2 linked regions of the Canis lupus familiaris genome follow. The protein of the gene in region 2 purifies or fractionates together with the protein of the main gene of each other region. This does not show direct contact. Links are inferred from orthologs where the notes say so. Each region holds a gene or a part of one and is shown on either strand. Other genes may lie near its edges.

The links.
Region 1: the proteins of ENO1 (region 2) and TPI1 fractionate together in Homo sapiens (co-fractionation; 4 studies listed by BioGRID, with this or other methods). This does not show direct contact. The link is inferred for Canis lupus familiaris from reciprocal best matches to the Homo sapiens genes ENO1 and TPI1.

The regions. Positions count from the first base shown.
Region 1 is NC_049248.1:7,936,036-7,940,433, reverse strand, and holds the start of TPI1 (triosephosphate isomerase), read right to left. Parts: upstream 2,855-4,398; 5' UTR 2,806-2,854; coding exon 2,691-2,805; intron 1,560-2,690; coding exon 1,436-1,559; intron 1,323-1,435; coding exon 1,238-1,322; intron 1,164-1,237; coding exon 1,031-1,163; intron 736-1,030; coding exon 650-735; intron 358-649; coding exon 270-357; intron 181-269; coding exon 62-180; 3' UTR 1-61. Other genes in the region: USP5 (ubiquitin carboxyl-terminal hydrolase 5), read right to left, coding at 4,383-4,398. UniProt on the Homo sapiens protein: Triosephosphate isomerase is an extremely efficient metabolic enzyme that catalyzes the interconversion between dihydroxyacetone phosphate (DHAP) and D-glyceraldehyde-3-phosphate (G3P) in glycolysis and gluconeogenesis.
Region 2 is NC_049226.1:62,805,220-62,809,345, reverse strand, and holds the start of ENO1 (alpha-enolase), read left to right. Parts: upstream 1-1,263; 5' UTR 1,264-1,422; intron 1,423-3,630; 5' UTR 3,631-3,639; coding exon 3,640-3,724; intron 3,725-4,126. UniProt on the Homo sapiens protein: Glycolytic enzyme the catalyzes the conversion of 2-phosphoglycerate to phosphoenolpyruvate. In addition to glycolysis, involved in various processes such as growth control, hypoxia tolerance and allergic responses.

The sequences.
Region 1 (4,398 bases), on a different chromosome or scaffold from region 2:
GTTACTGAGCTTCTGAGCTACCTAGTCCCTGGCTTAGCAGGAATAGGGGAGATGGATGGGCTTATTGTTTGGCGTTGATGATATCCACAAACTCAGGCTTGAGGGAAGCCCCACCCACGAGGAAGCCATCCACATCAGGCTGGCTTGCCAGCTCTTTGCAGGTTGCTCCAGTCACAGAACCTGGGAAGGGAGAAGACAGAGGGAATGGTCAGGGAAAGGACAGGAGGCTGAGTTCACCCCCATCTCAGGCGGGAGCCAAACCTGTTTACCTCCGTAAATGATACGGGTGCTCTGAGCCACTGCATCAGAGACGTTGGACTTGAGCCATCCCCGGAGCTTTTCATGTACTTCCTGGGCCTAGAACAAGAAGCCAGACCAAGTAAGCCCTTTTCTGCTTTTCACTCAAAGGCTAAAAGACCCTGGGCCCCAATGAAGAAAGGTAGTGTGGGGCAAGGACCCACAGATCTGAGCCAGAATACCACAGCTCCAATCCCATCCAGACCCTGGAATGGATGTCCTTGGACAAGTCACTCTCCTCAGGGCCTGGGGACTCCTGTCTTTAAAATGAGCAGTTGGTTCAGATGATCTCTGTTGCACTCTAGTCCTACCGAGGCAGGTAAGATGGAGCAGAGCTCTTGGTCTCAGTTACCTGTTGGGGTGTTGCAGTCTTGCCAGTCCCAATGGCCCATACAGGCTCATAGGCCAGGACAACCTTGCTCCAGTCCTTCACGTTATCTGTGAGACAGAGATCACAGATGGAAGGGTTAATGGGAAGGAGCTGGCCAGCCTGTAGCCCAGGGAATGAAGAAAGATGGTGGCCTAATGCCCCCTGGTGGCTGTTGGAGGAACTCCAAGTGGCATCTAAACCATCTGGGCAGGAACAGACCCGATATGGAGGATGCAAAGGTTCTCACCCTCCCCCTTCCTTTCCAGTGTCAGCATGGAATCAAGTCAGGCCGCAGAGCATCTCACCCTACCCTCTGTGCCTCTAGCCCTAGCCAGGCTCAAAGGTCCCCTTCTCCAGAGTTACCTGCGATGACCTTGGTTTGCTCGAAAACAACCTTCTCAGTGATGCCAGCTTCCCTCTCATCTAGCTTCTCCCCAATGCAGGCAATTACTCCGAGTCCCTCTGCCAGGGCGTGGGCCACTTTCTGTCCAATCAGCTGTTGAGTAGCAGATCTGGTGAGACACCCCTCTTGGAATAAGGGGTCTCTTACCTCCCATTCTGGTTACTCACCTCATCCGACTCCCCAAAGACATGCCTTCTTTCCGAGTGCCCCAGGACTACCCATGTGGCTCCGCAGTCTTTGATCATGCCAGGGCTATTGGAAGAGATAAAACCATGCTTCAGGAGAAAGCCCACCCTGTAGCCTCTCCCTCAACAAGGAAAGTGAGGGCACGGTCCCCACCCGCCCCTCTCCTGCCTGCATCTCACCTGATCTCCCCAGTAAAGGCCCCGTTAGTCACTTTGTAGCAGTTCTGTGCAGCCACAGCAATCTTGGCATCTAGCTTCTGCCGAGCGAAGTCGATGTAGGCAGTGGGAGGTGCACAAACCACTTCTGGAGAAATGATGGCACAAGAGGATGAGGTCACAAGGAAGCCCTTCTTCAGACTCCATCCAGTGTTCTGGAGTCCTCTTGCCTTCACCTGATTTCTTAGTTCTCCCTATCCCTTCTCACTCCAGCAAGATCATCTCTGTCCACTTAGCAGCTCAGGCTGGGCCTGTACCCAACTCCTTGAGCCTTCCAGGTGTCCCTGGGAGGCCATGGCCCTGGCCCTGCCCTCTGCTCTTTAACAGCTGTGGTTCTGATTTCTCAGGGCTATTCTGGGCCTGGGCACCTCCTAGACTCAGCATTCTCTTGAAGCCAACCATGCCTCCCTTCTAAAATTGTCCATCCCTACCACCCCCAGGCAAGGATTTTTAGCAAAAGCAGAAGGAGCAGACACTCCTGGGGTTTGTACTGGGGTCTGGGGAGCATAAACCAGGGCCTCTTTTGATCAAGCCCGGGTTTCTGTGAGTTAGATGAGTGGGAGGGTGAGGGCTGAGGACAGCACTCTGGGCCCGCGGGTGGCACGAAGTTGACTGGCTCGTGGAGGCCTTGCGCTTTCCCGTTTCCAGCCTGCACAACGCTGTGGGATCGCTCCTCATTCCCCCAAAGCGCCTCTCGTCTGGCACCTGCTGAGCCCCTTGGTCGCAAGGCGGGCGTCATCGCGCCGGCGAGGGGAAAGGATGGCGCGGGGAGCGCAGGCCACCGCCGCCCGGCCGCCGGGGATTCGGCCCGCCCCGCGAGGAGGCGGCGCGGGAGGAGGCGCGAGGAGGCGGCGCGGGGAGGCGGCGCGGGGAGGAGGCGCGGGCTACGTGCGGCGGCGCACGGGGCGCACGGCCCAGGGGGCAGGCAGCTGGGTCCCCGCACCGAGGCTCGGCCTCCTCCCCCGCACCCCGGGCGGCCGCCAGCAGCCCGCCGTCGCCCGCAGGGGCTCGGCTCCGACCCCCGTCCCGAGTCCGCACCCCGGGCCGTCTCCCCCACGGCGACCCGAGAAATGCTCTCCCGCCCCGCGGTCGGACGGCACGGCTCGGTGCGGCGCCGAAGTCCCGACCCCGACGGCCCTCGGGCGCGGCCCCGCACCCAGGGCACGCGGACAGCGGCCGCCGCCCCGCCCGGCCTCCCCCCGCGGCCGGCGAGGCTCACCGGTGTCGGCCGGCACCTTGGCCGCGTTCAGGGTGGTGATGAGCTCCCCCAGGTTCTTCTTGCGCCCGTTCATCTTCCAGTTCCCCCCGACGAAGAACTTCCTGGAGGGCGCCATGGCGCTGGGAGCGACACACTGAAGGTCAGGAGCACCGCGCAGCCGCTGCCACTGCCCGCTTATGTAGAGCGCCGCGAGCCGGAACTCCGCCTCCTCCCCGCCCCCGGCCACGGCTCGGCCGCCCCCGCCCGCCGGGAGGCCCGCCCGCCGCCGCCGCCGCCGCCGCCGCCGCCGCCGCCGCCGCGGGGTTCGGAAGCGACGCCCCCCATTGTGGCGGCGTTCCAGGGCGGCCGGGGGCTCGGGCGCCGCGGAGCCACCGCCTGGCTTGGGGGAGGAGGCGGGACCCGGCACTCGGGGGCGCCCCACCTCACGATTCCAGCACCCCCGAGGGCCGGAGGGTTTCCCCAGGGGCGCCTTGGCCGGAGGTTACGCTGCTGGCGCGGGCTGAGGGCGCTCCGCGGGGCAGGTCTCCAACTCCGAGGAAAGGACCTCCCTTCCCCCGCCGGAATAGCTGCATCCCTGATCGCTGAGCAGGCACCTCTGACCTGTGGGGCGGGGTGCGGAGTGTCGTCCCAGTTACTGGGCCAGTGGCAGGGTTCAGAGCGGGAGGGACGGTCCACACTGCCTCGAAACTGCAGCGGAGAGAGAGGCAGTTCAGACCCCCTCCGTCCCCAACTCCGGGGGTCCCCCCTCTGCTCCAGCTGGCCCGCCCCACTGGAGACTGCAGGGCCTAGGGGACCCGAGACATCTGGGAAATAGCCACTTGGGACCTGTCCAGTGTGGCCGCTGGAAGGCAGGTAGAGCTCTTCACCCCCCACGTTTGCTCGGTGTCACCCCCCTCCACTGGCTCTGATTGGACAGCCCCTACCCCTCAGCGTTCCTCTACTGCCCCCATGTTCACCCCTCCTCATCTCACACTCCGCTTCCCAAGAGCTCTAGAACTACTGAAAAGTAGAGAACAGCCAAAGGAGGGGGGCAAAGAGGCAAGGGGCCCAACGGGCTATCTTTCCAGCCCCAGGCAAGGTCAGTCTCCCCCAAGGTATCAAAAAGGACACGACTTAGCCATTATACTTTTATTCACATCGTGTATTTTGGCATTTTTCCAGAGAAGGGGCAGGGAAGAGACTGGGTGGGGGAAAGACAGGCCGGAGGGCAAGGGGGACTCCCATTTCCTTCGCAGCCCTCCCTGCCTGGCCACACAGGGAGCAAACACTAAGAGGGAGGGGAGGCACAGATGCCCCCTCCTGTGGAAGAGGCTGCATGAAGCTGCACCCACGCGCACGCACACACACAAACGAGCCCCCCTCCAAACCAGGGGCCGGCAGGGTTACACAGAGAAGCAGAGCACTGTGGGTTCAAGGAGTGGGGTGGGGGGGACAAGGAAGTCTCCTCACAGACAGGTGGCCGGCCCCTCCCATCCCCCTCCTGCTCTATCCCCAAAGTCTCTCAAGTGTCCCCCGCTTTGCTTGGCCATTCTCCTATGGCCTCTAGCTTCTTCCCTGCTGCTGAGGACAAAAAGAAACAGGGTACAGAGCAGGTGGGGGGGGGCTGAAGTCCATCGTCCACCCATCAGCCCCTGTCCCTCATGCCAGATGGTCTGTCCCCTGTCCTCCGTGGTAAGGGCTCAGGGCAGGCCTTTAGCTGGCCACTCTC
Region 2 (4,126 bases):
TGTTAGCAGTGAAGGAAGAAAAGCAGTTTTTGCAGCTGACCAGGAGAAATAATAACTAAATTCAAATACACATTTGAATCTCTCTCTCTCTCCCTCTCTCTCTGCACAACAATGCTGAAAATACGGAGATATAGGACATTATTTTAGCTTCCGGATTTCCAGACCAAGGAGAACGCTGACAAATACAAATCTAACGATTATAGAAAACGAAGTAATCGCCTCAGCCCTTTCTTGGAGAGCAGAATGTGCTGCAGAACTGATTCTAAATGCAGTTTAAAATGCATTTTAGCATTAAATGGAGTTTTCTCCACCAGCAAGGTGAATGAAATCACTGCACCGTTTCTCCTGTTTCTCCCTTGCCAGACGACCGTGGAATACTACCCGCTTTGAACTCTGAGAAATGCCTCGGGTCTGTGGGAAATTCCAGTCCCAAATCACTGTACGCGGTTCACAGGGACGGGGGGAGGCACGGAGGCACACGAAGTCTGCCTTCCAGATGCAACATTAACCCTGAGACGCACGTGGAGAAGTGCCGGGCACGCTGGAAGGGCTCAAAAAGCATCAGCTCCTAACTGCACGGAAGTAAACTTCCTTCGCGCCACCTCGCGCCCAACCCCATGCCCGTGGTCTGGCCCACGCTCAGACACAAAGACTCGCTCGCCCGCCGGCGCGCGGAGGGCGGGGCGGGGGCGAGCCGGGGCGCAGCGCGCAGGCGCAGGCCGCCGCACGTGGGCCCCGCTGCAGACCCGGCCCGGGAGCCGCACCGAGGCGCGCGGCCGCCAACGTCGCCAGGCCGACGGGGTCTCCGGCCCCACGCTGCGGGCGGGGCGGGGCGGGGCGGGGCCGGCCGGGAGGGCGGGCCGCGAAGGTCGTCGCCAAGGTCGTGGGCCGGACGTGAGGCGCCGGAGCGACGCTGCGTGCGTGCGGGACTCGGAGTACGTGCCGGAGCCCCAAACCCTCATGCCGGCCGCGCCACCCCGCCCCTTCCCGGGGCCCTGGCGCCACAGGCCGGCTCGGCCAGGGGTCCCAGCCGGGGGCGAGAATGGAGGGCGCCGGGGCAGGGACTCGCCCGCACCCCCACACAGCCGCGGGGGGGGTCGCGACCCCCCCAGTCCCGCCCCGCTCCACGTCCCCGGGTCTTCGCTGCCCCTCCCGGCCGCGGGGGCCGCTACAGTCCCGCCCCTTCCCGGGAAGCGCAGGCCTGAGTGACGGCGCGCTGGGCCAATGACGAGGCGGCGCCGCGGGGGCGGGCTGGGGGGCGGGAAGTGGGCGGGGCATCGGGGAGCTGGGCAGGAAGTCGGGGCCGGCGGCGCTGAGACGAGCTTCGGGTCCTCGGAGCGTCCGGACCGCGCAGCCTAACGCTCGTCCTTGGTGCCTGCGGCATCCTCTGCTTTTTCCCCGGGCAGCGCTATCGGCGGCCAGGTAGGGAATCCAGGAAGGGCTGCCGAGCCGGCACCCAAGCCTGGGGGCCCTGCGCGTGGGTCCGGGGTGGGGACGTGGGAGGGGCGGGTCGGCACGTGCGGGCCGGGCTTCGCCGGAGGGGCAGGAGCGGAGTCGGCTGAGATGAGGGGTTCACAGGGCTAATGGGAGCTCGCGAGTGGAACGCGGGCCGTGGGGGACGGCGGGCCGGACGCTGCAGGGGCTTGGGGAGGTGCGGGCCTAAGCCCGGGGGCTCGTTAGAGCCAGGCCTTTCCCAAAGTGGAGGGAGGGGCAGGGACGGGATGCCCAGAAGCCGCGAGCCCCTCCCCCACCAGCAGCCCCTGCGCCCCGCTGGGGGCCCCGGCCTGCAGGCGGGAGGCGGGAGGCTGGTGACGGAGGGGGCAGCCTCTAATGAATGGAACTTCAGAGGGTGCTTGTTCTTCAGCGGACTGCGGCCGAACCGTTGCGTAATTGGGAAAGCGGTCCAGGCGACCTCGCCCAGGTCATGCAGGAGCTGCTCCGGCTCCCCGGCCGGGCTCTCGGCAGTCGGCCACCGATCTGACGTTAGAAGGACATATTTTAAGAAAATTCCCTGTCTGCTGTGTGAATTGGGGCCGGGGACACCCCTCGGCCCTGACTGCCCAGTCCACACGTGCTGCCCCTGGTCCGGGGTTCAGCCCAGGCAGATGAGCCGTGAACACTCCATCCATTCTTGCTGGCCTTGCTTACTGAACCGTAATGACATCGGGAGTAGTTTTCTAACCTTTTTAAGGATAAGTTGAACTTTTATTTTCACAGCTTGAAATAAGTCGCTGTGTATTAATATTACTAAATTAAACGAAAGGACATCTTACAACAGCAAGAGGATGTATTGTAATAAAGATGTGCTTAAAGCGCATCTAAATGCACAATGTAAGTCTATGGTGGCCTAGGGATGGGGGGGGTGGGGATTGACTGCAAAGGGCCTAAAGGGACTTTTTTAGGTGGTGGCCATCAGACACAGGTATATGATTTGCCAAAACTCAAAGTTACTAAAATCTTATAATTAAAAAATACATTTAAGCAAATTTGCCTTTTTGTAGGATAGTGAATAAAAACTAGATACCTTTTTTTTACCTTTTTATTGGCTAACGAATGAAACTTCATTGTTAAATAGTCCCCATGCACCCGAAGTGATTTCACTGTCTAATTTTGAAACTTATTAAAAAAAAAAAAGATGCCATTTGCTGCCTCAGAACATTCCAGACAAGATACTGGAGAGGAGCCCAGCTAGATAATGGCTCTGAACACTAACCCAATTCCACTGGGCTGCCTTCAGTCAGTCCTACAAGGTCCTTTCTTTCTTGGAAGCCCCTGGGGCTGGGAGGTGAAAAGGCTTTCTTTGAGAACTAAGGTGATTGCTCTTTGTAACTGCAAATCTGTTTTTTTTTTTTTTTTTTTTTTTTTTATAAGATGCTTTTAAGGAAAGCCTCCTCCCTTGGAGTATCCTAACATTTGAGGATAGAATCTAGTTTGATTTCAATTATGACATTTCATAATTAATTTTTTTGAATGGGTAAAATGCCTGTTGAAAGTAATACTAATTAGATGTTATTTTTGGTGTGTCCTGTCTTGCTAAAGATCCAAGTACTGTGAAATGTGAAAGGCCCAGAAGTTGGCAGTAATAGCAAAGACCACATTGTACAGACCAAGGACACTCCTGGCCTCAAAATTTCTTTAAGTATCCCAGTATCCACCGACTGAACATCTTACGGCTACCTCAAGTTTAACTTGGTGAATTATGTCCCCAACTATGAATTCATTATTTCGCTACAAGCCAGATTTCTCTCCTTGTATCACCTTGCATTTTTTTTGTCCTGGATGGGTTAGCTTCTGACCTTCGAGTCTCCTTGGTCCATTCCCATGCTACCCTCGGTGGGAGCTATTGACAGTAACCTGCTTCAGACTGTCTCAGCTTCAACCATCCTGTGTGCAGACAACACATTTCCAGGCTTTGCTTTGCTTAAAGGACCAGCACCAGACTACTGGGGTTTGAGGCCCTACAGAGCTGGGCACAGCAGGCTTTCCCCACTCTTGGCAGCCACCTTGCATCCCGTATCTGTCCAGCGCAAATTCTTTCTAGTCCAGGAATCCTCAGAAGCGATTCTTTGAATGAATGACCCAAGGCTGCATTATGGTTTATGGGAAGTATGAACTGTGTTTCCCCCACAGAAAGTCACCATGTCTATTCTCAAGATCCACGCCAGGGAGATCTTTGACTCTCGCGGGAACCCCACTGTTGAGGTTGACCTCTACACCTCCAAAGGTAGGTGCACCTTTGTTTCAGGACTTCCTCTCCCACACTCCCATCTTTTTAAAATTTAAACAACAGAGTCTTGGGCAAGAAAAGGTCTGTTGTAAAAGCCTTTCCTTCTGATGTGCACGTGTGCTAGGCTGTGGTTCCTGAATGGGAGGAGGTGGGGGAGGGTTACAAGGCATGGGGTCCTTGTCTTGCTGCTTCTTGGTATCTAAAACAACTTGCTCCCAGGTCAGTGAGAGTTGGGTAAAGTAAGATCATACCTCGTCCCTAAAAGGGCCCGTCACTGGTTTGCTTCACAGCTTGCTCTGCCTGAGCAAGCATATCTGGTGTGGTTGGATGGAGCTTTCTTCCTTGGAAAGGAAAGATGAGAATTCAAGTATATGCAAAGCATTCTCATTCCTGCTTCTA